Lytechinus pictus: one gene and its partner. The protein of the gene in region 2 interacts with the protein of the main gene of each other region in a biochemical or structural test. Links are inferred from orthologs where the notes say so. Each region holds a gene or a part of one and is shown on either strand. Other genes may lie near its edges. The genes, in order: barrier-to-autointegration factor A-like and serine/threonine-protein kinase VRK1-like.

Region 1 (16,865 bases), about 39 Mb from region 2:
ACTTCTTTATTTGTTATCCGATTTTGATGAAATTTTCAGCAATTTGCTTTTTGAATTTTACTCGTTTTATTAAGATATAAATATTTTTAGCCCGGACACTCCCTTTAAGGCAAACGTTAAATCCATGTTATCATCAGAATATTTGAAGTAAATTTTCTGTGTCAGAATTTCAGTTTATCATTAAATCACTCTTCCTTTGATTTAATCATCACCAAATACTCCACCATGAACATCATCACCATCACTATCTCTATGGCATTCATCTTCATCATTGTCACCACCATCTTCATCCTTGATGAAAGCTTGAATTTGGCGTTTATTATTTTCGGCTCAATTTGGGGACCACAAAGTTCAAGATAAATTCGGCACCCCCTTAGTTTCATTACCATTATGGCGCCCCGAGTTTAAAATGGAATTGGTGCCCCCTTTACTAACAATTATTTTGGGTCCCATCATTATTTTGGGTCAATTTGGCGCCCCCTCATTTTCGGGTCAATGATTTAGCAAGCCTCCTCAAGTTTAAGACAATTATGCCCCCCCCCCAAAAAAAAAAAAACAGATTTTTTAAGATTAAGATTACACTGCCCCTATCTTATTATCCCCCCTCACTCTTTTTCGTTTCTTTCATATTTCTTCCCTTCTTTCACTCTTTTCCCCTTCTCTTGCCCCCCCCCCCCCCTTTATTGCGCCTTCCTTTCCCTTCCCTTTCTTCCCCTATTACCCCGGGGGGGGGGGTGGCCAAGAAAGCAGTGTCCTCTCTGTGTCACTAGTCAACAAGTTGCTTCATTTATCAGAGTAGAAAGTGCAAAACTGACATAAAACATTCATATGAAGATGATTCATAATTCTTTTAACTACATGTAATTCTCAATTTTGTCAGGGAGACACTTCAGAACAGTAACTTCACACAAAAAAGATATACAAGAATAACAAGTCGACAATAGATGAAACAAATTTAAATTCTAAAATGCATTTTTATTAAGCAATAAATACATATACAATCAGAATTGAATGATTAAAACAACTTTTAGAAAATTTGGACACTCTGTAACTCAAATTATGTGTATAAAGTAAGCTACAATATGGTGTAATGGAGTTTGGACAGACATCCTTCCATAAATTATTCTAATTTCAATTAGCAGGCTAGGTAATGGGAAGGTGTGCCATGGGAGTAATTAAACACTAATCAATATTCGATTATATGAACAAAAACAATGGTGTTATGTAATTAGGAAATGGGAGTCAATGTAAACAAGATCATAAATACATACATATCTGCCTTGATGGCTTGCATTATCATCAATCTAAAGAAAGTGACCAAAAGCAGAATGTATCTAAAAATGTACATTGCAAAACAATCTACAGATTTCCACGGTGTAACAAAAAAAATCAGTAAAATTATCCTTTAAAAAATGGAAATTGTATTACTTTGTACTTCATATGTTTTGTAAATAGTAATCGTGATTCTTAAAGTAAGTTCACCAGTCACCAGCAGCAATTGAATGGATGAATCAATTCAAAATCATGATAAAATAGATATTTTCTTGTGATCAATCAATTTCTTGTGATGCATTATGATCAATCAAAATCCCATATTATTGTGATGTCACGCAAGTCAAGGAGTAATACTGTAATAGTGTCAAAAGTACATTTTAATGAATGATACAAGTAGATGTAACCATTACAAAATGATGTAGCACATTTCAAAGTATGGGAATAATCACCTACACATAAAATTCATGAACTAAATAATATATGGAAGAGATACAATCTAGAATGTGTCATGGAAATACAAAAAATTGAGTTAAATTATTAAGAGGACAATATGAAACGCCAGTGTCTCTTTTTCAAAAAAATAAAGCCAGATAACAGATGACCAAAAAATGCACTATGAAGTATGAACACAATTTTTTTTAACACGACACATTAAAGTTCTCAAATATATGAAATTAATATAAGTGCTGGATATTGTTTAGAAATGTTATACCCTACATAGTACATAACATCATGATAAAATTGCACTAAATCTGAGCTTAACGTGTGTGTTTAGGGTAACTACTGATACAAAGGCTCATAACAGAAGGAATAAATGTATTACGCATTTCCCGTACAACCCATTAGATATTGTATTCTACAGATTTCAAACAGACCACAACCCAAATTGTGAATAAAAACTACACTATCATCATAGACTTCTACACTTTATACAACATATAGTCAACTTTACAAGAAGTTGGGTGGCACATTCTATATCATATGAATCTGAACACATCAAATAATCCTGCACTGTGGTCATGCTTAAAGGGATTTTTTTTTTCTATATGCTTAAAGGGATGCTCCAGGCTGGAGATATTCATATCTCAATAAACAGAGTAAAATTCACTGAGCAAAACGCTGAAAATTTGATCCAAATCAGATAACAAATAACAAAGTTATTGAATTTTAAAATTTGCATTATTCCGGTGAAACGGTTCTAGGCATGTCTCCATGAATATTCAATGAGCAAACTGATCATGTGATATCCCCACTTGTTCTTTTGTATTTTATTATATGAAATTAGGTTCATTCAAAATTTTTCTACCACGAACTAAAACAATTGGATTGACAACTGATTAAGTGCATTAGTTATTTATTGCTGCAATATAATGGAGACACATTATTTACACATGTATGAAAAAATGAAACAATTATGATTTTATGTAATAACATAAGAAAAAGGAAAGTGGGGATGTGACATCAGCCCACCTAATGATCATGATGACGTACTTATAACTGTTTTTACAAAATATTGCTGAATTTTAAATTTCAATAACTTCGATATTTGTTATCCGATTTTGATGAAATTTTCAGCATTTTGCTCTGTGAATTTTACTCTATTTATTTAGATATAGATAACTTCAGCCCGATGTTTCCCCATAAATCTTAATTTGCTACTCTTCAAAAAGTTGATACTTGGGACTCGTGTTTCATAAAATTGTTCGTAAAGTTACAATTTTTCATGTACCTGGAACATGTAAAGTCAGATACATTCTATCACTTAGCGCAAGAAAGGCTTCCACTTGAGCATAAAGGCATTCAATCATAACATGCAAATACTTTCATGAAAGAGCCCCCAAGTAAGATTGAAAATCAATGCAGTTTTCTTGATAATGTAAGCACCACACTTACATGTACTCCCAAGGGAGCAGAGAAAAAATGAGAATGTGCAATGAGTTGTGTCAGCAAGCCAAAACTCGAATGACCATGGTATTGATTTGGCAACTTACTGAAGAACTTTCCTTATTGATAAATAAAGTACTACATGATAGCAGGTTCATCTTTAAAAACAAAAACTTGCTCTTATGCCTGGGGATTTCAATGCCTACATATTAATTTGGTCAGGGTCTATTTTCATAAATTAAATGAAATCTGAAACATTGGATTTTGCAGTGAAGGAGGACTTCCCTAGGCTCTTTTTTATTATTATTTTCCAGGGATTTTTTTAGCATTTCAGGAGCAAAATCCTCCCGAAACTCATTGCAATTTTCCCCTAAAATGGGTACAGTAAATGAAATATTTGATGGTCAGTTATTAGTCATTATATCCATTGTTTTATCAAACTTTAATATCTTACCACACAAAGTGCCTCCTTTGAAAAATTAAAATTCCTGTGGTGGCGTCCCACAGTAGTTTGCTCCTTTTACATCATGCTGCTTTTATGTGCACCGGTTGGCCCCCTTTTAAGCTCTGATCCTAAAACATAAACTGGGTAAATGAGATCACAAAAAGGCATCGCACCAATCCTTCAAACAATTATAGCAATCTCCCGCCTGTTTCTTGTTGGCTCCTCCTTCGTCCTTCAGCCAATCAATGAATAGTTCTTCGTCTTTCTTTAGGACCAAGAACTGCCCAAGGATAACATAGGCCTGTAATGAAAGGGGAAGGAAAAGAGGGAAAGAAAAGGAGAGAGAAAGAGACAGTACAAGAAAGAGAGAGTGAAAGGGGGAAAATAAAAGGAATGAGGGAGAAAAAGATGGAAAAACCACAGAAGAGAGAAGTGGTGAATAAAGATGGTTATCATAAAGACAAAAAATCACTCAAAGTCATAGAAAATAACTATGTATGAAATGACAAGTACTGTGTGCGTGACACCCTAACAACATACTGATTTGATTTGAACAGAGAAAAAGGTCTTTCAGACATGATAAGGCTTGACAACATTTTTCATAGCTTTTTACACAGGGAGAAAAATCATCCCACCCATGCTTATGAAAGTGCCTCACAGCTCCAAATCGCAGAACTGTCCATAGCTGCAAAGAAAAACTCATGAGCCTGCATTCTAAACTTGAGTTGAATTCAAACTCTGGTCTAAAGTTGTTGTTAAACTATGGATAGCAAATTGTGACAGGTATCTCTTGCAGTCTAAGTTCAGTTTGTCAGCTCATTCGATACTCAAATCATACAATAAGAGACTGGAACAAATTATTTTTGAAATAGTTCTCTTTACCATTAAAAATGTGGAAAGTGTCAAGTAAAGATATGAAATAGATTTTGTAAATGCATTTACCGTATTCAATTTTTGGCTTCCCATAATTTTAACACAGAGTTAGACCTGACTTCAGATTATGGGCCATGGAGACATAATATATGATGCCATAGGTTAACCGATGTAACTATGTAATAATTATTTTTATGTTAATTTCTTAAAATAATTTTTAAAATTGTTGCCTTCCAACAAAAACTTATGTTTAGCTGCAACTCGTTATATCCTCATGACTTTGCTAACATGGGGCTTTGATACAGCGACCACATAATTAGAGAGCTCATTTCATTTTCTAAATTCTTTGAAAATTTCATTGGCAACACTTAGTGGTTTTGAATACATATTCTCTAATTATGTAACAGTGGTGCATTTCAGACCATTCCAAATTTACTTCACTACTGTACACTGTATTTCTGCATTGTTGTTAGCATGTTATCATACCAGTGGAAATTGACATTTAAAAAAATTAAAACTAGGTAAATCAATTAAACCTCAGTAACTTAATAATAAATATAGTAATAAGAACAAGAATGCAGCTGTTTGAATCGGGCATGAAACAGGCATGAACTAAGCTATTATTTCCATCAGTATGCATTTCTCATTATCAAACTTGGAATTGACTGTCAAGCACTGGTGTTACATTTCCTGCCCTTCTGATAATGCTTAAGGTTGTGATTTGGTTAGATCATGGAGATTTCCCTGGTCAGATCAGAGAATTTCCAAGTTAGATTCTCGATGGTTGAAGTGGGTTGATAAATTAGACAGTGCAGAATATACAGTAGAACTATGCTGCATGAAGACTGTGTTGTATTTTGTCATGTCTAAAGTTTCCATGTTTTGTATTCAAATAAAATAAAATAAATGTTACAAATCTGCAGTTAAAGTACATGTAACCAATACTGTGTCACTATTGCAGCACCTTCATTCTGTTTAAATTACCCTAGTCCCCATTCTTCTATAAAAATCACAAATTTATTGTTACCTTATCAAAGCCTTTCTCACTAAGTCTACCACCAATGGCAGGTCCGATGCCAGCCATTTCCTGCACCGATTTCTCTCCCATTGGCTCTGCCACAAAGTCTCTATGTTTCTGGGATGTTGATTGGGCCATGCTGCAATGTATTCACTACCAATCTGGTATCTAATGCAGGGGAAGATATATAAAAAAAAAATTTAAAGAAAAATCACTTAAGATAATTCCCAAAGGAGTGAGTCACATGGATGACTGGAAAGGAAAAATACTAAGCTAGCCTGGCAGGGTTGTAAATACTTGTAATAAACAAGTGGAGCACCTCTGGCAGTCTCACCTGCATCATGCGATCAATATAGCAGCAGTGCTGACTTTGAAAACTACTTTAAAATAATTATTCACAACCAGATCCATAAACTTTCAAAGTTAAATTGGTAATTCCACAAATACCCAAAACTTGGCCAGAGTTCATTGACCCTAAATAACCTTTGACCTTGGTCATGTGACCTGAAACCCGGGGGGGGGGGGCAGTTAAATATATTGCTGTACACACACGTGGCCAAATCATTTCCATATACCCCCTGAACAAGTTTTTCTGTGTGCAAAATAACCACCTAAACAAGTTTTTGTGGGCTTTATTTGCACATTTTGGCCCCTAAACAAGTTGTCGCCAGAATATGACCCCGGGGAAAAAGCTTGGGAAAAAAACATACCTTAAACACGTTTGGCTAGTCCTTAAAAAAAAACGTACCCTAAATACATTTGACCCTGCGATTGACCATTTACCAGTCTTTCAAAACTATCCCTTTTTTGAAAATCTGTGTTTTTGATACCCTTAACGAGTGCACGCGCAGCCCATGTCCAAAACTGAAAAAAAAAAACCCTTTAAACGCGTTTGTTTGGTCACGCGTGTGTACAGCAATATATTCGATTGGCCTCCCCTCAGGCAGGATATTCAGTAATACGACATTAACATCATAGCCAAGTTTAATGAAACTAGATCCATATACTTTTTAAGTTCTTCTTCTTCTTGTCAAGTACAGACTGCCATTGGCATATTATCGTACTAGTTGTGCTTGTCAAGTGCCCAGATGAATAGTGCAAGTAAAAATCTCTACAAAACTATGTGCGGCTAAAAACAGAAGAGGCCTTAACGAAGCCTCATTTGCTGCACCTCCTGCTTGAAAGACGCGAGGGAGGTGCTGTGGACTATCTTTGCTGGGAGCGAGTTCCATATTCTGATAGCATCAGGAAAGAATGTCTTTTGATATATTTGTGTTCTGGCATATGGGATTTGGAACTTATCAGGATTTCCACGTGTACATGGTCCAGTTGGTGGAATATTGATTTTGATATTGATTCCCCCAACATGGTCTAAGTTCATTGACCCTAAATACTTAAGTTAATACAAATGCCAACAACAGACAAATTTAAAAGAAGTACCGTATTGATATATTTTGGCAAAATAAGCACTTTGAGCTTCCATGACTCCTCACACAAGCTCATGAAGTAGTAATTTTCAGCAATATTAATCCTACAAATAGTACAAGAAGCGACCGGGAGTTACAGGCTCGCGCCTTCATCCCGTACCAGATGAGGATCATCATGATGATGAAATGACCTTTGAGTAGACCTTGTCTTTCGCTTGGCGAGTGGTGACAGCACGCAAATCGCGCAATTTGCATGCTGTCGCCAAGCGAAAGACAATGAAATCAAGATGGTGACGTTAACACGGTGGCAAGTTTTCAAGCATAACATTTTTCTCGTTTTTTGAATGAATTCTTGTTTAAAAATGAAATTGATATTGTAGAAATGTCCGAAATGAAGTTGTATCCCATCTACATGATTAAGGGCTAGAGTAACTGCATCTGTGCGCGGCAGGGGGTTGGTGTGCGGCCATTCAGCAGACTCAACAATATTCCACTGAAATCACCAACACACTCTAAACATGTACAGTACATATTCACTAACTCACTCCCACACTACAAAATCATCCGGCGACATGGGCAAAATCTCAAATAAAAAGTGAAATTTCCTTAAGTAAATCACCATATCTCGCATAAAAAAATATCACCGTCGGTTCATAGTTAAGAAACAAGGGGTATAAAAAAGTGGATTTTTCACGGTTTTCTCGATGTTCGTGGATTTTGAAAACATGTCCTCGCCCCTCGGTAAAAACTAGTACTTTCGCGAGCCGATGTCGGCCGCCATTTCTTTCCGGAAGTCAATGCTGAGATCGAAAAAATAATAAAAAACATGAAAAATACGACAACACCTCAAAATGTAGCGCCCTAAGGCCTAACTAAGTGCGGCTTTGTGTGTATGCTCGCTATTTTCACATGCGTTTGCAATGGAACTGCGCACTCAGCAACATTCGCGCGCCGTTTAGAGGTGAATTGCAGCTGCCTCACAGAGCTTGCGGGAGCGCCATAGGAATTGTACATCGGAAACCGCACTAGAGACAGGGTGGCCGCACACAGAAGAATGCTATCGCGGTCAGAAGTGGTGGTCAATCTTGACCACCACCGTCACACGATTGCTATCGGCCAATTTTTGCGATAAAAATAGTAAGTACCATCAGTCCTTTTTATATGATATGTAGGTCTATGGTATGGATTAAATTTGTGCAAAATAGTTACACTAGTTACAGGATGGAAAAACCCTAACCTAAGCATTGTTAACTTAAGCGGCCGCACACTGCGCCGGAACTCTTGATCTTTTAAAACTAAAAGGAAAGTAGAAATCTCGGGGGTGAAAGTTTCAGGTTTTTTGGTGGTACACGCAGATGAATGGGAAGGAATCCCTAGGGCCTAGCTCGGCGCTAGTGTAGTTTCGCACCTCCCCGTTTAATCTCACCCTAAATAATTCACAACCTAAAATACTTGCATCTGATCCTCCAAAGTCCAGTAGAAGTTGAATATTTGCCGTTTTGACACTTTTTTTTACAAAGTTTTACACCTATTTCGGAATCACTCGGTCGCTTGAAGCTCAGCGCTGCACATAAGCAGTCGGTACGCGTACAGTACGTACCACCTAGTGAAGTGCAAGAAGAGCGAGTTTTTCTATGGTATCTTCAAAAAGATTTTTCCCCCTCTTTCAGCTTGCACCAAGTATTACGGTAGTGGTTGTGCAGAGTGGTTGATGTTTGTTGTGTGAAGGTGTGTGTGGGGTGTGCGTGTGTGTGCTTGTTTGAATGAAATAAGAAATGTGAAAAATGTGAATACACGTAGATTTAGCGATGAAATAAGAAATAATAATGTAGAGCCTTGTTTTGAACTCTAGGTCAGAGAACTTTCCTTCAGTTTACAATTGTATGCTATGTTGATTTCATGCTAGTAGATTACATTTTTCAATTTTTCACATGCCGTACCATCTCCATCCATACCACCTGGGACATGCAATGTACATTTCATCCTTTTGTTTGCATGCGCATACACTCACTACATGCAGGGAGGTGATCATATTACGTGTATGTCATTACTCTCAGTCTCGCACACTAACTGCACCTGATATCCGTTTAGGTTTACCCTTCGTATAACTTTGATGATTTCTGATTGGTTCCTTATACTCATCCATGCTTATGTTCATCTATGATTGGTTGATTATATACAAATGAATATTTATGTTTGTGCAGTCGGATGGAAAAACAATAAAAAGTGGCAGAGAGTGCCAAGGCCCTGGGAACAATTTTTTTTTCACCGGGGTGCTGAGATTAATATACATGTATATCAAGGGCGGATCCAGGATTTGTGAAGGGGGGGGAGGTGGCGGAGACCAGCTTCCCTACCTGTTGAGAAACGTGGGCATGAATCAGTACTTGAGCGTAAAGAGGTCGCAACCAGCCGCTCAAGAGCTGATGAGCGGGTGGGGGGGGGGGGGTGGTAAGCATAAAAAAAATAATTTTTAACCGTCATTTCGTAATGTTTTCTGCAAAAGTGACCAATTAGAAATTCTGTCAGTAGGGGAGGGCAGGGTGGGAAAACAATTTTTTTTAAATTAGTAATGATTTTTTTTTAAGGGGGGTCCAGCGGGTTTTTAAGGTCTAAAAAAGGGACTTGGGCGCAGCCGCGGCCGATTCGGCCCCCTCTAAACAGCCTGAACTCCTCAAATCATCCTGAAAGGGGGAGGGGGCGCGGCCGAATCGCCCCCCCCCCCTGGATCCGCCCCTGTATATATATACAACACATTTTGCAGGGGGTTGCTGTGCATCCCCTGAAAAATCTGCAGCACCCCTATCACCCCCGCTTCCAAGGGCCCTGGAGAGAGTCATGTGCTCAGAGAGACGTTTGACCTTATAGGTTTATTTAATATATAATGTTCTATGTACACTACATGCCAAGTTTCAGAACAGTTTGTCGCTCCATGTCTGAGAACACCCCCCCCCCCCGAAAATAAAAACCAAACAAACATCACTCTGCCTTTTTAGGGTTAAATCTTTTTATAATTTGAACAAAATGTGTCGAGATATAGTTTACTTTGATCATGCATGTGGGGGGGGGGGGGCGGCATTTTCCAAATTTTACCTAAGGGCGCCCAAAATCTGGTCGGGCCCCCAGGGGTATAAAATACTGGATACGCGCATGGGGGTGGGGGTGGGTCATCTCAAAGAATCCCCAAAATGTAGCTCCGATATGTATCGACCCTTACTCCCTGCAGATAACCTGGAAACCATGCCCCTAATTCCCCTCCCCCTGTCGTGAAAGCACATTATTTCCTTCAATTTTTATACATTTTACTTTGGTATTCTACTTGTGAGGGGGTCCAAAAGGGGCACTTCATAATATTATATTACTATGTGAGGTAGCGTAGAGACCGAGTGAGACATTTTACATTTTGGTATATAGAAAGTTTGCATTTTGGGCACAGCTCTTTACAGATCGTTATAGTACAACATTATTACATTCTAGTGCCTATATTACTTTTTATATCTTTGGAAAGGACCCACTGAAGCTAAGAAGGAAAAAAATGCTTTGCTCCCACCGATAAAGCTACTATCTTCGCCCTCACCCCCCCCCCCCCCAACCTTGTGCACGGTAAAATTGTTTCTACATAGTACCTAAAAACTTTGCATGATAGAACTATAGAAGAATTTGCATTGTTGTAAAAAATATAGATATATATGATGCGACCGTATATAAATTGTAAGTCAGTGAAAAAGGAGTGAAAATCACTTTTAATTATCAATTATATAGGAACATTTTTATTTTGCTTCAGATAGGGAAAAGATAACCCTTAGCGCGGAATTTGCTCTGAAAAACCCTTTTCTCTTAAATGAGCGATTTTGATACCCTTAAAGGGATCCTGCCCGAAAAAATGCCACTTATTCCGCGTATTTGTGCACGCGCGTGGTTACAGCGTTGTATATAGAGTGGCCCCCAGGGGCGTGAGAATGAAGCGGGATACCTTTTGATTGCGGCAAAAATGTTATCATCAGAGAAACTCCAAAGATGAATGATCCTGCCCGAAAAAATGCCACTTATTCCGCGTATTTGTGCACGCGCGTGGTTACAGCGTTGTATATAGAGTGGCCCCCAGGAGCGTGAGAATGAAGCGGGATACCTTTTGATTGCGGCAAAAATGTTATCATCAGAGAAACTCCAAAGATGAATGATCCTGCCCGAAAAAATGCCACTTATTCCGCGTATTTGTGCACGCGCGTGGTTACAGCGTTGTATATAGAGTGGCCCCCAGGGGCGTGAGAATGAAGCGGGATACCTTTTGATTGCGGCAAAAATGTTATCATCAGAGAAACTCCAAAGATGAATGATAAAAATGACCCCCCCCCCCCCCACTTCCAAATAAAAACCCTCGAGAAAACCCAGTGTCAGATCAGTCGTTGACCAAACATCTTTGGCGTCAAAACTCGAGTTGAATTTTTATCATGGCTGCTGCTCAGCCTCAGGGCGGCAATTTGCCTGACCAGGCAGAGTTTGAGGGAATCAGTCTGACCGAGATTGGTCATAGATTCAAATATGACATCGACGGCATGGTTCTCTGGTGCCGAAACCATGGACTTCTTGCAACACATATGGACTGTCCTACCTGCGGTCGTCCATGTCGGGAAGGGGCATATAACAGGGCCGTTGATGGCATCACATGGCGTTGCGCAAATCCCTGTCGGAAGACGGTGAACATCAGAAAGGACAGCTTCTTTGAAAGGAGCCATCTTCAACTCTGGCAGATAGTTGCCCTTTCCTACGTATGGTCAACCAACTGCGGTCGTGCTCGAGGGCTGCCTCAGGACATCATCATGAAGGAAGTTGGAGTCTCGAACAAAACGACGGTGGACTGGATGCAGTTTTTTCGCGACATCTGCGTCCAGTACTTCCAAAACCACCAGCAGCAGATCGGGGGTCCGGGTGTCCTAGTTGAGATTGATGAGTCTCTTTTTGCGAGAAGGAAAAACAACGTAGGACGCGCCCGACCAGAAAAGTGGGTCCTCGGTGGCTACGAACCTGCCCGCAAGATAGGCTTTCTGGTCGAAGTCCAGCAGCGGGACGCGGCTACCCTGCTGCCCATCATCCAACAATGGGTGGCACCCGGCAGCATTATCTGGACCGATATGTGGAGAGCATACAACAACCTACCAAACTTGCCGGGACAATACCAACACGGGGTGGTAAACCACACACTCAACTTCGTTGATCCGAACACCGGTGTGACTACCAACAGAGTCGAGTCAATGTGGCAGAGAGCGAAGGCGAAGTTCAAGGCACAACAAGGTCCAACCAACAGAGCCATGATAGGCGACTACCTTTGTGAGTTCATGTGGTCACAGCGCTTTTCGGCAAGTCCACTCTTTCATTTGTGGACACAGATTGCCACAGACTTGTACCCCGTCAATTAACTTTATCTTACATGCTCGTCTTCCTATTTAATCATTTTTATTTTATTTTTTACTATTATTGATATTGCCAGTTATGATTTTCCAAATACCAATATTTTGTTATTACTTTTTTAGTATCATTATGACAATAATTATTGACATTGTTATTAGGTGATCCGCAGTTCATTCTGCGAAGTACTTGATCAGTTTTAATTTTGATATCAGCTTCAGAAAGGACACGAGTTGTAGACATAATTTCATGTATCATTTTTAAGGGTCGGGCATTACAACATGTTTTCGGTTAAAGTTTGCTCAATGTAATTAGTTACGTATCATTTTTTAAAAACCTATGTTTATGTTACAGTATACGTCTTAAAGTTACATATTGTTTTCTTCATGACATGATCTATATTTTTTTTCTTCTATTAGAACCATCTGTATAATTCCTTCCAGCATATTGTTGCTCAAAGTTTATATATTCCTTCCATGAAGGTTCATCAATAATATATATTTTCTAAAATCAATGAGACAAATATATTTTGTGTTATTTTGTCTTTTGTTTGCAGTCATTATTTCATTTAAACGTTTGATTTGCAATATTTGTAGATGTGTGCTGATCACTGATGAATGTGTTTGTTTTGTGAGTGTAAATGTATTAGCGGCTACGATTGAAATGTGAATTTCGAAAGTGTATGTTTAGAAGACAGAATGATTGCAGTGGCGTAGACACGTCCTCAGACCTGGGGGGGGGGGGGGATGATGATGTCGCACATACACAAACACACCTTTACATCCACACATACAGAAGCATATAACTTCCCTTTCTTTTTAAGTATCTTTCTTTCTTTCCTATCTATCTTTCTCTTTCTTTCCTTCCTATCCATCTTTTCTTTCTCTTTCTTTCCTTCCTATCCATCTTTTCTTTCTTTCTATTTTAATAAACCCCTCTCTTCTTTTTCCTTATTTTTCTTTCTTTTTCTTTCTTTCTAATCACTCTCTCTCTATTCTTTCTTCCTTTCCATTTTATCTTTTTATCTTTTTTCTCTTCCCTTGTCAAATTTATCTTTCTTCTTTTTCTATCTATATATCTTTTCGTTCTTTCCTTTTAAGGCTATTTTCTATTTTGTAAATCTATTGTTTTATTTTTTTCTCTCTTTAGTGCCATCTTTGTATTTACATTTTTTTACTCTTTCCCCCGTCCTTTCTCCTTATTCTTTCCCTGTCTTTTTTCCTCTCTTTGTCACTTCTCTCTCTCTCCCGCCTCTCTCTCTCCGCCCCCTCTCTCCTCTATTTCTTTCTCTTTATTTTTTTAATATACCAAAGGCCCTAATAAACATTTTGTTTTCGTGTGTTTTTTAATTATTGTAAAGGATTACTTTGATGGTTTATGCGTTTTGGGTTCACTACATAGGTGTTATACTTTGGAGACGAATAAAAATTAGTCCAACAACTCTCTAGCTCAGGTTGCAACGGCTATGTGGCCTCTCTCTCTCTCCCTCTCTGAGCATATGACTCTCTCCAGGGCCCTGGGAAGCGGGGGTGATGGGGGTGCTGCAGATTTTTCAGGGGATGCACAGCAACCCCCTGCAAAATGCGTTGTTATATATATATATATATATATATATATATATATATATATATATATATATATATATATATATATATATATATATATACAGGGGCGGATCGGGGGGGGGGGCGAATCGGCCGCGATTCGCCCCCTCCCCCTTTCAGGCTGATTTGAGGAGTTCAGGCTGTTAAGAGGGGGGCCGAATCGGCCGCGGCTGCGCCCAAGTCCCTTTTTAGACCTTAAAAACCCGCTGGACCCCCTTTAAAAAAAATCATTACCAATTTTTAAAAAATTGTTTTCCCACCCTGCCCTCCCCCACAGAATTTCTAATTGGTCACTTTTGCAGAAAACATTACGAACTGACGGTTAAAATTTTTTTTTAATGCTTACCACGCCCCCCCCCCCCACCCGCTCATCAGCTCTTGAGCGGCTGTTTGTGACATCTTTACGCTCAAGTACTGATTCATGCCCACGTTTCTCAACAGGTAGGGAAGCTGGTCTCCGCCACCCCCCCCCCCCTTCACAAATCCTGGATCCGCCCTTCATATACATGTATATTAATCTCAGCACCCCGGTGAAAAAAAATTGTTCCCAGGGCCTTGGCACTCTCTGCCACTTTTTATTGTTTTTCCATCCGACTGCACAAACATAAATATTCATTTGTATATAATCAACCAATCATAGATGAACATAAGCATGGATGAGTATAAGGAACCAATCAGAAATCATCAAAGTTATACGAAGGGTAAACCTAAATGGATATCAGGTGCAGTTAGTGTGCGAGACTGAGAGTAATGACATACACGTATATGACCACCTCCCTGCATGTAGTGAGTGTATGCATGGGCGGAAATCCCAAGGGGGAAAGGGGGGGGGGGACACAATATCAAATGTCCCCCCTACTATTTTTTGTCTTTTATGATGGTAAGAAATACATCATTCTAAATCGAAATAAAACATGTATTTTGGGACGAGTTTAGACGAGATGACCGTACTGTGGGGATGATAACCTTTTTTTTTGCTTGTCAAATTTTCCCGCCCCTTGTCCCCATAGGCGGATCCAGGGGGGCCGAGGCCCCCCCCCCCCCCTATTGGCGGAGCAAAACAAGAAAAAAAGGGAAAGAAAAAAGGAAAAAAGGAGGGAAAAGAGAGGAGAAAAGGAAGAGAAGGACGACGAATGCATAAAATAAGATGAGGGGAAGACTTGGAAAATAAAAAGAATCTTTCGTGCCACTATATAAAATTTTCGCTCGCGCTTCGCGCTCGCATTGCCTGTTAGGTGATTTACATATCTTGTTCAATATGGAGCTCAAATATCAGGTTTGGGAGTCAATATACAAAACATATTTCACCTCGGAAATCGAACTTTCATTATTTTGTGTGATTTACAAATTTATTTTTAAAAAGTGCTCTGTAAAAATGTCAGTTATATGGTCTGAATAATTTTATCAACATTTGCTGCTTGCGCTGCGTGCTCGCAAATTTTGATTTATCAGGTACCTATTATTTTCGTGTATTCCATAAAGTTTTCAAAATATCCCTTTTCAGGTCTGATTGCCAAGACGTATCAGCTAGCTGGCTGCACGCTCGCATTTCGATTGGCGAGTTATATAAATGTTTCAATATAGATTATACAACAAACTACTTAAAATCCCCTTTTCATGACAGTTTATAAAAAATTCTAGCTCGTGATTTGCGCTCGCATTAATGGTTAAAAATATATTAACTGATGCATCCTATTCATGATTACAAAGGTGAAATGTCCAGTTTTTATGCCATAATATCATCAGATTTCGCGTTCTCATTAGGCATTAATAAATATGATATTAATTTAATAATTAAATTGTCACTTTTGTTTCATCTCGCGCTTAGCAAGAGGAATAGGAAGATAGTCATCATTTTCATGACATGTCGTAAGGATGTCCCGGTCCTATGTCAAAACTCAAAGTAATAATAATGAAAATTTTAGCTCTTTTTTAAAGTTCGATCCATATCCACCTTCAGGGGCGGAAATCTCTCCCAAAAGGTAGGGGGGACACAGGGGCGGATCCAGCCTTCGCCAATAGGGGGGGGGGGGCGGTAATTTGTTTCAGCCATATTTTCCCCGATTGGCAGCTCGAAGATGATTTTTGTTTGTTTCTTTGAAGGGGTAGTCCTCATTAGTCACTTCTTAGCTTTATTCTTATAAATAAATATATAATATCATAATCCTTATTTATATGATGCGAGCGCGAACCGCGAGCTAATTTTTTTTTGAAATGTTATGTATTTTTTTCCTAAAATTTGAACTGATTCTGGGCAATGTTTGTTATCCTAAAAAGATGTGTATGCAACTTAATAATTACTACAAACGCAAAGCGCGAGCAGAAATGAACTGATGGAAAAGATACCTGTTAAAGTAGCATTTAACAATCAAATAATGCGAGCGCAAAGCGCGAGCTGATTTTTTTTGGACTTGTTCACCTAAAGAATGGAAATTCTAAGCACTTTTTGTAACTCAAGCAGAATAGGTATATAAGTAATCAATTAATGCGAGCGCGTAGCGCGAGCGGAAAATTTCGAGATTTAGTCCTATAATATTTACTGAACGAGACACTCTATTCATGTTTTGTATATCCTGAAAAGGGTGAGTATTAATAATGCGAGCGCGAAGCGCGATCTGAATTTTTTTGGACATGTTCACAATTTTTATATACGTTTTGAACTGGTACCTGTTGAAAAGGTACCTGTTAAGGATTGCTTGCACTTACCATGAAGGCGTTACATATTTCAACGATCAAAAAATGCGAGCGCGCGAAATCTGATGATATAATGGCATAAAAACTGGACATTTCACTTTTGTGATTATGAATAGGATGCATCAGTTAATATATTTTTAACCATTAATGCGAGCGCAAATCGCGAGCTAAAATTTTTTATAAACTGTCATGAAAAGGGGATTTTAAGTAGTTTGTTGTATAATCTATATTGAAACATT
Region 2 (16,327 bases):
CATGTGACTTGAAACTCAGGCAGGATGTTCAGTAATACTTGATTAACCTTATGGCTAAGTTTCATGAACTAGGTCCATATAATTTCCAAGTTATACTGTCATTTCAAAAACTTAACCTTCGGTTAAGATTTGATATTGACGCCGCCGCCGTCGGAAAAGCGGAGCCTATAGTCTCACTCTGCTTTGCAGGTGAGACAAAAACTGATGCTAGCGTTGTGTGTCAGCATGCCTCATCGCTGTGTACAGTGCGGGTGTGAATGCAGTTGGAAAACACTCTGTCCATCAGAAAGGATGCAAATGTTGGTCCTGTGTATAGGAAAGTCACAACCTATGCACGTTAAAACCAATACACTATTCGTCAGTCAAAAAAAAAGAGTAGGTTGTTCACCCAGTGTATTGAACCTGCCAGTACCCGGTACTAGTCATACTGCAAGAATCTTCAGGATTGAAGGAGGCAGTCAGTGTTGCTTGGAGAACTTGAAGAAGAACTAATATAATTATCATCATTTTACAAAGAAAACCGTTATGGTTTACTTTTGTAAACTATTAAAATTGGATATGCCGGGGGTACCCATCTCAACGTCCACATGTGATTTTTTACTTTAGTAATGAAATGAATTGTTCATAATTCAATTTTCTCAGCAATTCAATGCTCCAGTCTTCATGGTGTAAGTACCGGTATTATGATGCATAATTTACCTGTGCTATTATTTTGAAAAGGTGTATTTTACAATTCATCACAGACACAGTATTTGCAATTTTGTCATAATTTTTCTTTTTGAAAATTATGCTATTTTGTGACTAAGGCTAGATCTACGTCTCGTCTGCTCTTTTTAGCGATAGTATCGATATCAAGTCAAGGCATTCTAACGTTAGTTAGGAAGCCTTTTGTGAAACGGGTTTAGTAAGATTGGATGGAACCAACTCCGTGGTTAATTGGTTGGTGGATAATGATATGACTAACTTGTCCAGGTGTTGAGAAACGGGCCCCAGATCTAGATCTAGGCCACTCATTATATGAACAAGGTTATGATATAATCTATTTACCTTGGAAGTAGGCATAAAGTTATACACAACTTATTTGCCCCTCTGTATCCAAACGTTGGTACCTAAAACTTATTTGGCGTTGAGTGGCATGGGTAGAGCATGGACAAAGAAAATTTTCATCTGGATTGTACATGTTCAGGGACCTTTTAAACACCTTTTCCAAACGTGATTTGAACATGTTGACAGTTCGACTGTTCACAACTTCATCTGGTAGATTGTTCCATTGTGTGACAACTCTCTGAGAGAATACACCTTGTCTCAGCTTTGAACAAACCCGATTCTTCAGAATTTTCAAATTGTGTCCATGTGTTCTCTTTGATCTACTATCTAGACAGTGTAAAGAATTGGTCTGCACAAAAGTCTTCAATACCAGTCACTAATTTGAAGATCTGCAACATGTCTGATCGGTGTCTACTATAGGCAAAAGAAGGCAGTTTCATGCTTTGGAGGCGTGCAGGGTAGCTGAGGTCCCTTAATGAAGCCAGAAGTTTGGTGGCTCTTCGTTGCACCTTTTCAAGCTTCTCAATATCTTTTTTGTAGATAGGATGCCATACACATGAGGAATATTCTAAGACAGGCCTTATTAGTGACTTGTACAGAAGTAGGAATCCTTCTTTATCAAAAGATGAGAAGGTGCGTCTGATCATTCCTAGTTTCCTATTTTCTGCAGCAACAACTCTTCCGACTTGCTGATTAAACTTGAGCTTATCATCGAAAGTAACTCCCAAGTCCTTCTCCTCTGATACTGATGCAATGTCGGAAATCATACCATCTTTCTGCACTTTATAAATCCTGTCTGAACTTTTCCTACCTAGGTGCATCACTTTACATTTTGATGTATTAAAGGGGAGTTGCCATGTTTTGGACCAATTTGAAAGACTGTCCAAGTCTTGCTGCAACATCTCACCATCATTATTATTGTTGACAGAAGAGTAGAGTTTGGTATCATCTGCAAACATTTTAACTGTCGATGATTTACCAGATATAACCTCGGGGAGATCATTAATAAAAATAATGAAGAGAACGGGGCTGAGCACGCTCCCTTGAGGAATTCCACTGGTAACAGGTACATGATGTGAAAAGGATCCATTGACATTTACTCTCTGGCTCCTATTTGATAAATGCTTTAATCCAATTCAGAATCTTCCCTTGGATACCATAAGCATTAAGCCCGAGTTGAATCGATTTTAAAATCGGTGTTCGATCGATGTCATCGAGCGCCGGTGCAGATTTTGCAAAATCGGTGCATCGGAAAAAAAAAAAAAAAAAAAAAAAAAACGTCGGCCGGCCGATTCGTTTGGTTCACACAATCATTAAAATAAACAGTAATGTCCAACTTGACTACTACTTACTTGATTTATATTCCCCCAAAATGAAACCGATTGTGCAATTATGATGCCTATTCTTACTCGTCTGCTTGTGCCGAGATAATTTATGCACAATGAATTCATGAATGGAAGTCATCGCCATCGATCGTGCATGCGCAGTACTGTGCTTTAATCAAACCAGAAAGTTGCCGAGACCAACATAAAATATACCTTGCACTCATGAACAATATTAATATCATGACCATAGAATATTATTTAATCGTAATATTTAACAATAATTTATATATGATAATCATTAATATGCATTTAGAGCTTGATGTGAAACTTTGTATTTCGTTTTAATTTTCAATGACGGACATCACATGACGATCGACTTGAGTGAGTGCACTTGTCTAAAAAAAAAATTATCACGTCAGGATTGATTCTCGCACATTGTCAACATGCAGAAACTCTTTTCAAGATCGTAATATCACCATATAATAACATTATACATGTACATGACAAAACAGAGAAAATTGCGTTTGTTATTTTTTTCCATCAATTTGAAGTTAGTTTGTGCCCAACTTTGGGCTCTGATTTCATGAATGGAAAATGTGTCATACGTCATCGAACGCGCATGCGCATTGTGCTTCTTTTCTCGGAGACGTCTAGATGGAATAAAATAAAAATAATGCCAATATTAATACTTCCATATGAACATAACATACTTCGCTGACATCGTTAATATTTTTAGTATGGCCATCAAATCTTATTGCCTACATGTAAATCGTAATTATTTAACATCCAATAATAATTTAAATGAATTTAGAGCTCTATCCGAGTCATTTGTATTTATTTCGATCGCATGCTCTTGTGTCTGTGAAATAAAAATGGATTATCATATCAGGATTAATTCTGGAACATCGTCAGAACTCATATTCTACAATCTTTCCTCACATTCGTTATATCAGCATTGAATACCAATTCAAATGACCATCCAGAGAAAATTACGTATTATAATTATTCCCATCAATTTGTAGCTCATTTTGGATCCAACTACACGATCTCAGGCAAGTTACAGTGCTCTCTGCTGGTTGCTGGCAAGCACGCCTGTCGTTTCGGGAGAGTGAGTGTACGGGGCTGCGGACGGGGCTAGGTGTGTGCGATGCGAGTCTGGACTGCAAATGTTAGTTGACCAAAAATCATTCGGATCGACTCTGCGTGATTCATGGCTTTAATATTGTTTCATTTTAAACTTATATGTTGTCATCTGCAAATATCATTGTTGAAGATATTTTGGGAAGAATTCTGCATTGGTCCCCGGCCTTTTTTTGTGTTTTGTGATCATGGAAAATACAAACAAACTTTGCTCTGTCATCTGCTTGTGCAACGCTCACCCGGCCATGCCAGCGCTAGCGCATGCAGTGCGTGCTTAGCGCATCGACGCGACGGCCGGAACAAAAAAAATTGACTCGATTTTCCCGCCTTTAAAATTCGATGCATCGATGTTCGATCGAATTAAAGCTGTCGAACACCGTTTTTCAAAATAATCGATATGACTCAGGCTTAATAAGCATGCAGTTTCTTCAGCAGTCTATCATGGGGAACACTGTCGAAAGCCTTTTGGTAGTCGAGGTAAATGCAGTCCACGTTACCACCATTATCCAGAATGTTATTCCAATCTTCAATCACTTCTAGAAGTTGAGATGAACAAGATCTTCCTTTGCGAAAACCATGTTGGTGCTCTGACCACAGACTATTTTCATCCATATGCTGCACTATTTCTTCCCTCACCATGGTTTCCATTATTTTGCTCACCACACTTGTCAAACTAACTGGACGGTAATTTCCTGGAGCTGTCTTGTCTCCCTTCTTGTGCAATGGAACTACATCTGCTAGCTTCCACTTAGATGGAACTTTTCCTTCATCCAGAGATGCATTGAACATATTTGAGAGTATTGGGGTGACATGTTCACCGAGTTCCTTGAGTACTTTGATGTGTACCCTATCTGGGCCTGGAGATTTGGATTGGTCCAATGATTGTAACACTTAAAGGACATTTTCAGTGTCAATGTTGATAGATGTCAAAGGTTCGGCATAACTTCTGTCAGAAATATCTGGCATGGTCATCAAATCCTCCTTCGTAAACACAGAGCTGAAAAAATTGTTCAAAAGTACTGCCTTCTCCTCATCATCAGACGTCAAAGATCCATCAGGTCTGGAAAGAAGACTGATGTCGTGCTTTATTTTGAGTTTACTTTGAACATATTTCCAGAAACTCTTGGAATTAGTCTTCAATTCTGAGATCAACTTGGACTCAAACTTCCTTTTGGCTTGACTGATAACTCTTGTAGTCTCATTTCTGATACGATTGAAAACCCATCTAGATTGAGCCGACCTTTGACTTTGATGAACATTCCATGCCTTGTGCTTCCTCTTGATTGCAGATTTGATTTCAGAGTTCATCCATAATGGTTCTGCTTTAAATAGTAGTTGAAGATGCAGTTGACTTGGGTACAAACTCCTCGGTTAATTTGTCAATAATGTCCTTAAACAAGTTATATTTGTCTTCACATCTTGATCCTCTTTAAAGTCGAAAATCTGATGGTCCTGAACAAAGTTTCTCATCTATCATTGTATCTTCCTCTGAAATAAGCATCTAGGGTGTGACATAGCCTACATACTGAGCATTAGACAGTATGTCAAGCTGCTTTAGAATGTCATTTACAAAACCAGTATCTTGATCCTTTCTTGTAGACGAATCATCCGAATCTACTTCTGGTATCCCCTGTAGTATCACATTATTTCGCCTCCGAGCCTTTTCTCTCTCTTCCTCCATGCAGCCTTTACAAATAGACACAACATCAGATTGCGACAGTTTCAGATCATCTGGACTATATCTCTTAGCACTGGCTGAAGCTGACATCAAACCTTGAGAGAGATCAGCTTGTACTTCACTGACCGATTCAGTCAAAATCTGGAGTTTATGGTCTAATTCATAACAGTGATCCTGCACTGAGCTCCACTTTACACTTTCTAACTCCAGTTTTGAAATTCTGTCATTTGCTTCGCCTAAGAATTTGCTACAGTATTTTTCTTAAACAACTTGATCGGTTTTAACGGCTTCAGTTCAATTGCTCTTGATTCGCATTGAGCACAAAACCAGTGTGCAGCTCTAACTTCTTGAAATAATCAGAAATCAGAAGATGATAATCCGCTACAATTCATGCAAAACCATCCTTCACAACGTTCACATTCTATACAGTCAGAGTTGGTATCTATGAATGGTAATTTTACTACATACAGAAAGAGGCTGATTCACTTTGATGAGAAACGTCATTTGTTTTAGTTGAGTTTTTCCTAGTTTTGCTCTTTTCAAGTCCTGATACTGATCATGCTGATAGAGTTCCTTTCTTATTCTTTCAGATTTTGTGTCCAAACTACTGATACTAGGAACTATTGAATTATTGATCCTGTCAAAGGAGCACTCTGGGAAAGTTTCTCAGGGCTGCCACCACTGACCACTACTTCGCTGACTTCACCCTTCCTCTATCATTATCAATTTAAGTCTATCCTCCATCTCTGAGACTATATTGTAAAGCTGGTTACTATTATTAGCAACTGAATATCTCAGACAAAATTACTTAATCAGCTTCACTCCTATTAAAGTAAGGCCTGGAAATATTTTAACTGTAACAAGTTAAGCCTGTAAATGTCCCACACATCAAACTCAAGCTTCAAAGGATATGTCTCATTCTCAAAACTCGACCAAAATTAAGCTAAATGTAAAGTAATTCGCAGTAAAATTCCACTATCACAATCTCGTAAGTAGCATCTGCATTGCCATCATGTTAGTGCATAGGTTGAAAATCTCAGGTTTGGAGAATAAATACTGAAGTAGGGTGACTTACATAGTAACATACATTATCTGAATGAGAGTTTGATCACATGTACAAAGTCTAAACTAAAGGCTCTTTGATGCCTACTCTGATTTGACCTGCAAAATCAATAATTCTTCAATCAACTTCAAATCAAGGTTTACATATAATAAGTCATAAAATACATAGGCCCCTACATGGTTTACTTTTAAAATTTAAGTTTTAATATTTTTGTCTTACATTATTACAATGGTCGATATCTTACCGGTACCGTGGCGTGGCGTTGATCGTGGCCTGGTTCAGACTTCAGGTTGTACCCTATTATTAAGTAAAGGCTATATCACCTCGACTTATGCTCGCTCATCAAAAGAATCTAACGTTAATAATAATATGCCGCTAGCTGGTTGTTTCTGCTTTAGCCTTTAGGCCTTGATCTTTTTGTTTGCCGCGCCGCACGAGTATCGTACCGTTGTACTTCTCCAGCGCGGCTCGAAGGTAAACGTCGCCAGAGTTTCGGGGCAAATCTACGGCCGTTATCGTAAGACACTCGTACTTTCAAAAACGGCGAGCGCGCCACTTGATTTGCTGGTTCCGGGTTCAACAAAATTTTGTAAATAATGTAGGTACCCCGGTATTATATCACAGAGTTAACTCAGCGAAAATATGGCTTAGTCTTGAAAGCTGTTGCAGTCGTTCTTACTCAAATATAATAAGTCGTAGCAGGCTTATCCACTTTGAAAAATCATGAGACCGAACAAAAGTTTCGGAAAAAGAGTCTAGACCGGGACAAATAGGTAACCGGACAAATACCGGTATCTCCATTTATCGTAATTAACTGCGTTTGTTAACGTCGAGACTCGATCGAGAAGAGGAATTGGAAGCATTATAGAGAATAGTCTGACATGTCTAGACTTAAGTCTGGCTTAGGCAGCAGTTTTAGGCGTAGGCCTACCTGGCATTTACAGAAAATTTATGTTAAACTTTAACTAGCGTAGATAGAGGTCCCTTCATTCAATGCTAGACTTTCTAACGGCGGCGTAGCCGTAGCCGTAGGCGTAGCGAGTGCATGTCCGAGTTAGCTTCCGAACGCCAGCCTGAATTCAACTCTGCTCTGCTGCCTGGGCCTGCGCCTGCACTGGGCTGGGAGTGACACTCAGCAGCGGACACCCCAGACCGTAGACGCCGCCTGCTTCCCGAGGACCTCGGCCTTACGATCACCTGCTGCACTGCCGATGCCCTGGCCCTGCCCCTGAATGCATGTCGTTGTTCAACTTGTTGTTGGCGCAGGTCCGGCTCATTGCTTATTTCAGGCTGTATTACTCACTGTATTGACATTGTACCGGTACCGTATTATTTGTACTGTATGTGTTCCCCGTGCGTGTGGCCGGATTGTGTCTGCCGCTGATCAACAACATTGATTAAGTAAGCCAGGGCCAAAGTTCCAACTCCAATCACTGACACAGTGACACTGCCACAAAAAAATCAGCTAAGCCTAAGCTTGACTGGCCGTGTTTCAACTTGTACTATTGTAGATACATGTACTAGACTGCCGGAATTCTAGACTTAATAATAATATCACTTAGCACCTTTTCTAACTTAAAAACGTCACTCGTTGTCGTTACTCTGACTCTCTGTTTTAAATTACTGTTGGCGTTAGGCATGTTCATCATGTCGACAATTGATAATCTTGTTCACTGCTCTAACAAATAACGTTTATACTATAGCTCAGAATTTAATTAGATTTAGGGAATTCAGTCAGAAAATATTCGCAAGACAGGATCTGAATCTGAGCAAACTAACAAAGCTAATTTTATTTAATTACAGAAAAGGAAATCAATTTAAGAAAGCCGATTTATGGCAATTGTAAATTATAGACATGTACGTGATGCAAATAGTTAGACTAGATTGGATCTAACTTATTTTGACGTAGGGCCCTAGTGAAGTCTTCGGAAATTTTGCTTGCTGACTCACTATTTGTACACTGTATGCTTTGACTCTGACTTCTGAGTGGCTTGCTGAATGTGAATGAAAGAGTTTAACCCATCTGCGTCTATGTTACGGAGTACATTAGCTGGTGACACGGTACACAACAACGTCAATACTCCAACAGTCTTGACAGTTGTCTGCTGAGTCGCTGACTAAGTTTCAGACAATACCAGGTTCATGAAGTTTCAAACACCAATCAATTACAGCTGTAATTAAGGATTCATACCTCTAGAACTATGTTTGATTGAAATGAAAGGAAATACTTATTTCTAAGATATCAAGCTTTTGAACCAGTGGCCGGTTGCCTGCTGCCAAAAGACTAGTAAAATGGACAGTATTGTGTCTTCTGAGGAGTTAGCAGGGGGTTCTGATGCACAGACAGTCGTACCACTTCCGTTTAAAGAAGGGAGCAGTGCAGGTAGAGTCACAAGTGAACATCCTTTATCAGAGACAGAGATGCCTCCTGCAAGAATGGATCATGCAGCAGAGACATGTGACAAGACTGTTAAAGGAGACGCTTGCCAGTCAGATAGGGAAGGTTTGCAAGATGGTACAACAGTGAGTCCAGCCCCAGGAAAAAAGGGATCAGGACGAAGAGTCCGATTTCCTGAAGGGAGTCTTGTTACAAGCGAGTATGAGCCACCTAATCCATGGATTAATGGTGAGATTTTTTCCTTTTTTTTTAGTCTTGTAACATATGTCATACATCATGTCCTTTCAGGGAATGGAAATGATTTACAAATTTAGGTCTATTCTTTTCCTCTAAAATCAAATTTTATTTGGGTTATATTCCCCTGAGAGGTAATCTTCTTCAGTATAGTCTGCTAGTGCTATCTTCACAGATTTTTACAGAACACACATGGCAGAGTACTTAATACAGTGGCAAAAAGAAGCTGCTGAAAACTGCTTATCTAAAAAAAGAGCCAATGGAGTAAATTAGAGAGTCAAAAGGGGCCTAAGCTTTCGATCCTAGCAGAATCTTCGTCGGAGGCAAAATGACTTAATACAGTGGTGGATGTAGCTGTTGCCAACTTATTATCATTTGTAGACAAAAGGTTTTCCCTCCTCCCAATGGCCAGCAGAACGTTGGCTATTCCATAAAGGGCAAGCCTACCCCAACATAAAAAATAATCGAGCATAAAGCAAATACAAATTATCAAATTCCTAAGTGAAATAAGAAAGTTATGACTGGGACTAGTTATGACGTTCTAAATTTTTGCTTATTTTCACAAACACAGTTATAAATATGCACAACTTTGATTATAATGCAAATGAGAGAGTGAGAGTCAATGGTGTTAGAACACTATTTCTTTATTTTTATTATTTAAAGATAAACATGACAATATGGAAGTCTCACCTTTATTCTTGTATCACAATCTAAGGCAATCCCACATAAGGTCAAGTTCACCCCAGAAATTTGTTGATTTTAATAAATCAGTAGAGTAAAATCAAACCAGCATAATGCTGCAAATTTCATCAAAATCAGATGTAGAATAAAAAAGTTATGTCATTTTAAATTTTCGCTTATTTTTCACAAAACTGTTATATGCACAACTCCATGATATGCAAATGAGAGAGTCTATGATGTCACTCACTATTTCTTTTGTCTTTATTGTTTGAATTATACAATATTTCGATTTTTACAGATTTGACAATAAGGACCAACTTGACTTTAATTCCATAAAGTGTTAAAATAATGGTAATTCCACATGTTCAGGGAGGGATTCAATTTTGTTTCACATGACAGTGAGGAGAAAATTACAATTTTTCATATTTCATATAATAAAATACCAAAGAAATTGTGAGTGAGTGACTACATCAGTCTGCTTATTTGCATGCCGGCCTTGATGTGCATATATTACTGTTTTGTGATATTAAGCAAAAGTAACCTTATTTTGCATTCGATTTGATGAAATTTTCAGTGATACGCTTGTTGGATTTTTCTCCTTTTATTCAGATTAACTGTTTGTTGGGGTGGACTCGTCTTTCAAATGAGGAATCAAACCTTTTTTACCATGATGTTGAGGGAAAAATTAAGATATTTCATCTAATAATAAAAAGAAACAGTGAGTGACATCATCAGTTCCCTCATTTGCATACCGACCAGGATGTGATCATGTGCACATACAATGTTACATATACATATACATGTATGTACAAATAACTGTCTTTTGAAAATGAGCGAAACTTAAAAATCTAATTTCTTTTTTTTGCACCAGATTTTGATGAAATTTGATTATGGATACTGTTTCTAAGAAAGCTAGAAACTAAAATACACATATTTAGAAAATTAAACATATAGGGGAAAATACTCAAAATAGAGAAAAATTTATTGCAGCTGCGAAAAATTTATTGCAGGGGCGAAATGTATTGTACATTTGTTGCTTTTTATACTCACGCCAAATGAATTTTGAAACTTTGAAGGGTATAAAAGAATCAGCGGGCAGTCAGTCCATTGCAAATCTTGTGCATTGGACTGCTTCCTCAGTTTATATTAGATAACCAATTCTCATGAAATTTTGGCACAAAAATTGATCTTGGAGTAAAGATGTGCAAGACATATATTTTGTGTTTGTCGGAAATCATGTTGCCATGGAGCAACATACATGTATTATATGGCGAAAATTATGTAAAAATCTTGCAGTTTGAATTCCTCAGTTTTCAACCAATTCTCATGGAATCTGGTTCATACATTGGTCTGGAGGTACATGAAAAGATGTGGGGGGCATTTTTTTTGGGTGTTTGTCAGAAAGTGTGTCACCATGGTAACAGTTTTATTCGCAAAACTAAGGTAAAAATCTTGCAGTTCAAACTAGAACATCAGATTTCAGCCAATTCTCATAAAATTATGAGATAGATCTATAGATAGATAGATACACTGTAGATAGATCTATAGATAGATAGAGAGATAGATAGATAGATAGATAGAGATAGATAGATACATGTCTAGATGGATGGATGGATAGATACATGTACATGTAGATAGATACATGTAGCTAGATAAAATTGGTTTGAGGCAAAGATGTTTAAGACATTCTGTATTTTTCAGTTTTTAGCCAGTGCTCATGAAAGTCTGTATAAATATTCAACTTGGAGTAAAAACATACAAGATTTATTTTTTATTATGTTAATCACCTTCAGTGAATTCTAGTTTGGAAGTGGAAGTGCTGAACATAACAAAATCACCATTAGAGATAGGCATTGTAACAATTACATTATATTGGATGGCTCAGAATGGAATACCATAAATATTTCCAAGAATGTGGGAAAATATTCCACAAATTGCAGATTGGCTCTAACAAGTGGAATATTTCTGGTATTTCATGAAATAAAGCCATCCAATATCATCTATACAACCCCCCCCCCCCCCAAAAAAAAGAGGGAGAAATTTAACAAGTCATATCACTTATCACATTATGTCATCACTTTAGGATCAATTTTGGTCAGTGACATGCGACTTACATGTACATGTAGTTCATGATGACGTCATTGTGATCTATGCTGCGCATGGCATTACATTCATTGTTGTACGCGTTGTATATTTCATGCATTCGTGCATGCGCACTAGACTGTTGAATATGGTCTCAAACTCAACGGTAAATTTTGTACAGGAGCCTATGGGATATTCGTCGGATTTAAAGTATGGCTAAAACGCTCTATATAGATAATAATTATACTGAAAAAGGTAACCCCATGTACATGTACATGTAGCATGTAGGTGTATGAATGTGTACTGTATAATTTCATCAAGAAGTACAACCCAGCTATGTCTAATGCATTGTATTTTAATTTTTTGGGTTTCATGGTTCAAACTTCAAATACGATTTTTTAAAAATGAATTGTGTAGAGAATGATGCATAAAAGACTGCATTCATGAGGTGCTTGATTATCCATTTCTATAAAATGTCCACCTCAGATTAATTAGCCATGTACTTGAACCTACATGTTTTTGTGTCTCGCCCACTTATGAAAATAACCAGAAATATCGTGATTTGCGAGGGCACGCAACAGAATTGTATCGAAACTTCATTGTGAACTGACTGGGATGGAATAACACTTGTCATAAGAGCCTTGCACGTAAACTTTAATGTTGACCTGAAAATGATCTTTGACCTTACCATGTGACCTCCGACTGCAGCATAACATGCAGGTCGCCTAAGTCCATCTACATGTACCATCCAAGTTTGGTTGAAAAGTGACTTACAGTTGCAGAGTTAGGTGTCATAAAAGAGTCTTGCATGTAAACTTTAACGTTGACCTGAAAATGACATTTGACCTCACCATGTGACCTCTGACTGCAGCAGAGAAAAAAATACTTTTTTTTTTTTGCAGGAGCCATTTTTCTAACTGGTCACAAATTTATGGGAGCCGTTTTTCAATTTCCGAGAGCAATTTTTGAATTTGCTAGAGCCATTAAAAAAAAAATAAATCACATTTTACACATGTTGAATCTGAAGTATTGTTTGTTGTGTTTTAACTTGCCATCCGTACTATTTCTTTAACCAACAAAAGTAAAGATTGCCATAATGCCATTTGTTTAATGTGCCATCTGTACTATTTCTTTTACTATTAAAAGTGTCTAGTCTACATCTATACTAATTATAGTACAGTCCCAATTAACAGGGAAATTGTTCCTCATATTCCTACCTGAACTTATGTGTTCGTCTAGCTGACAGTTTTTTACTCATGGTTCATTATTTTTTCACAGAATTGTTCAAGCAAACAATTCAGAAATCACGAAGCAACTCCGAGAAATATCCGGTGACCGATGCGATGTGCAACTCAAATGCATTCGCCTATGCAGCTACGCACATGCACGCGGTGTCTATTTCACTACATGTATCGCTATACGTGGGCCTACACAAACAACGAGGGTAAACAAAAAAGGACCCGAGTTCGGACTGACATTGTGATTAAAATAAAAATAGCAATGCAATTCCAGGACTATGAAAATGAATATCGATATTCGAATAACGGAAAAATATCCACTGGTAATTCATCGAAACTTTTGCAAAGATTAGACAGGGTTCTTACCAACAGTAATTACTTTGGGACTAAGGATAAATGGCGTTCGAGCTAAAGCTGGTTCGCAGCAGCAGCAGCAGCGCGCCCAGTCCCGAACTGCCAATATGGCGCCGTACATGAAGCTGACGTTAGAGTACGGCGATTGCATTATATTGCACATAGCGCAATACAACACGCGCGGTTCTTATCCACCTCTATGTACGCTGCACAAGGGAAGACAGCGGACCTACGAGCCAGTTTTTTTCAAGGAGCGATTTTTTTTCCCCTGATCGCTCTCTCTAATGGGTTTGCGAGCACGATTTCAAAGCTTACGGGAGCGATATCACTCAGCGCCCCCTTGTATTTTTTTCGCTGGACTGCAGCATAACATGCAGGTCCCCCAAGTCCATCTACCATCCAAGTTTGGTTGAAAAGTGACTTACGGTTGCGGAGTTAGGTGTCATAAGAGAGTCTTGCATGTGAACTTTAACGTTGACCTGAAAATTACCTTTGACCTTACCATGTGACCTCCGACTGCAGCATAAGATGCAGATCCCCCAAGTCCATCTACCATTCAAGTTTGGTTGAAAAGCGACTTACGGTTGTGGAGTTACACATGTATGTGTCATAAGGTTTGTGACGGACGACATTTGGATCCCTAAAGGCGACCGCACACCTTACGACTGGTCTCCGACCCGATTTTAGAATAAATTGTTGTAGAATTTGATGCTAATATTGAGACTTGGAATATCTTACTGTGTAATGTTCTAAATCATCGTACGAATACCTATGATCAAATTTGTGACTATGCTATCATCCTTCTTAGAATAAAAGCGAATTTAATATCTAGTCGTAATGACGTCATAGCAGTCGTACGATTAGCTACGATTTGAAACTAATTGGGACTTTACTCCGAAATAAGGGCTTGCAATCTTTCAAAATTGTTATAATATTATTATTTCAATTAATTTCAACCTCAAATAAAATGATATGTTCCATTCACATCTTCAGAAAATGAGCAAAATGCGATTTGTTCCAAAATCGGGTCGCAGACCAGTCGTAAGGTGTGCGGTCGCCTTAAGTCTCGCATTCACCTCTGGTGGGCGAGACAAAAATGAATCATGACTACAATACATTATACATGTACATGTAGGCCTATAATTGCCGGATTATAATACTCGAGATGAAGTTTTGGTCTTCCATGTTGCATTAAAATTACATTGTGATAATCAAAGACCCCTTTGGCATGGGAATGGTGTGAGAGATAGCCAGAAGCATGTCTTATTATATAGTGACCAAATTTACATGTTCAAGCAGTTACCTGATACGAAGTGACAGATCAAGTGAAGTAACCACCTTAGCCCTAATGGGTTTGACAGAGTGGATCATATATCAACCACTGTATACTTAGCTGTCAGTAACTGAGTAATATCATCATTTGTATCCCACACCTTGAATGTTTGTTATATTTTCTATTTTTTCAAACCCAGAATTTACATGTACTCATTACAAATTTCTTCTGAAAGATAGAAAACGGCATAGTTGTATACATATGTGTAGATGATTGCACTGCACATGGTGTACATTTGCATGTAGACTCTTATAGGGGTCATGTAGTTCATATATTTTGAAAATGTACATTTATGGCATTATGTACACCCTGACAATGTAAATTAATAATGTATGCATTTCCCATGTACATGATGTACATGTAGGCCTACATCATGAAATGAATAACTTTGTTTGTGATTTTGTTTTTCCTTTAAAATTCATACATGTGCATGTATGCCTCTATGGTTTCCAGTTCTAATTATGAACTTGAATATGTATAGTTCCAATTGCAGTATAAGCCTATCCTTCAATTGATTGCATTATTAGCACTGTGTATTACTGTATCCTGCCAATGTTACTTCATTTCTGCCCTACATGTATATAGGCTAATGGCCATCTAGATTAACCCCACATGCATGGACACAGGCGTGTATCATTTCTCATCACATCACAAAGAACATACATTTTAACAAAATATCAACTTTCAATTTTGTAATGAATGACAACCACCAACTTTTAAAACATTGAGATTGTGGAAGGAATGCAGTTTCAGCAACATGCATTTGGCTTATCTAGGCTTGTAGTGTAGGCTGATTCTGCATTTTAGTTCAAACAGGTGGAAAGTAATAAACATAAAGTAAAAAAAAGAATGATCATGAGGAATTAGAGACCTACTCCATCGCCAATAAGACTAAAATCAATTGCAACCCCATGTATGTACATTAGGCATTCATAACAGCTACCTATGCACATGTACCTGCATCACCACTTGTTCAACAAAGTCCTTTTTAAGTCCATAGTGCTGATTACCACATTTGTATAATTATTTTTTTAGGGCAAGAAGTTTATCTGAAATAGAAAATGGTTGTGTCCATGACTCCATGTCTACATGATGAGTCAGTTTAATTGTCTATGAATACATGTACATGTACATGTAGGTATTGGAATTGCTATTGATATTTTTTTTTTGACAAATGAAATTTTCTTTAATAAAAGAATAATAACACATACAATGGTGTTGCAATATGGAAAGGCAGCAGGCCAATGAAGAATGAACAAACTCAAGATAAACCATTATTTAAGTGGACACCATGAGTCATCCCCTCCTGAATCAAGACAAATTTCAAGGGGAGTAGCAGGTCTATCAACTACATGTGTTTGTATGTACTGCATATATATCCATATTATGAATGTAGATCTTCAATCTTCATTATCTTTTGTGAATTTCCCTTGGGTATATTATTGTGATGGAGGATCATTATCAGAAATGATCAAAGTTGTAATGTTTACCAGTCTTCTTTTATTAATATGCCCGTCCTAGAGTGTTTGACTTAACCTCGGCTCATATAATTTGGTGTGTATGATACTAGCATGGATCCCAGGAAGCCTATTGATTTTGAGGTCTAAAGGTCAAAGGTCAAGGTCACAGTGACATGTTTTCATCTTACCCTTCTGCAGTCCTTGTAAACATGATAACTTCAGTTTAATGTAACCTAGGCTCATATAATTTGTTGTGTATGATACAAGCATGTATCCCAGGAAGCCTATTGATTT

What was found.
Region 1: of the proteins of serine/threonine-protein kinase VRK1-like (region 2) and barrier-to-autointegration factor A-like, one has a biochemical effect on the other in vitro, tested with the Caenorhabditis elegans proteins (2 studies listed by BioGRID). The link is inferred for Lytechinus pictus from reciprocal best matches to the Caenorhabditis elegans genes vrk-1 and baf-1.

Annotation. Positions count from the first base shown.
Region 1 is NC_087251.1:42,556,449-42,573,313, reverse strand, and holds barrier-to-autointegration factor A-like, read right to left. Parts: upstream 8,629-16,865; 5' UTR 8,349-8,628; intron 5,664-8,348; 5' UTR 5,634-5,663; coding exon 5,505-5,633; intron 3,906-5,504; coding exon 3,759-3,905; 3' UTR 955-3,758; downstream 1-954. Other genes in the region: uncharacterized protein LOC129258002, read left to right, coding at 11,374-12,339. UniProt on the Caenorhabditis elegans protein: DNA-binding protein which plays an essential role in nuclear envelope formation. Required for normal chromosome segregation during mitosis. Associates with the nuclear lamina via its interaction with LEM domain containing proteins emr-1 and lem-2.
Region 2 is NC_087251.1:3,482,244-3,498,570, forward strand, and holds the start of serine/threonine-protein kinase VRK1-like, read right to left. Parts: upstream 7,721-16,327; 5' UTR 7,557-7,720; intron 7,461-7,556; exon of another isoform or gene 7,196-7,460; intron 7,076-7,195; exon of another isoform or gene 6,933-7,075; intron 6,724-6,932; exon of another isoform or gene 6,473-6,723; intron 1-6,472. UniProt on the Caenorhabditis elegans protein: Serine/threonine kinase that phosphorylates baf-1, thus regulating the association of baf-1 with chromatin and nuclear membrane proteins during nuclear envelope formation. May act through the egl-17 signaling pathway.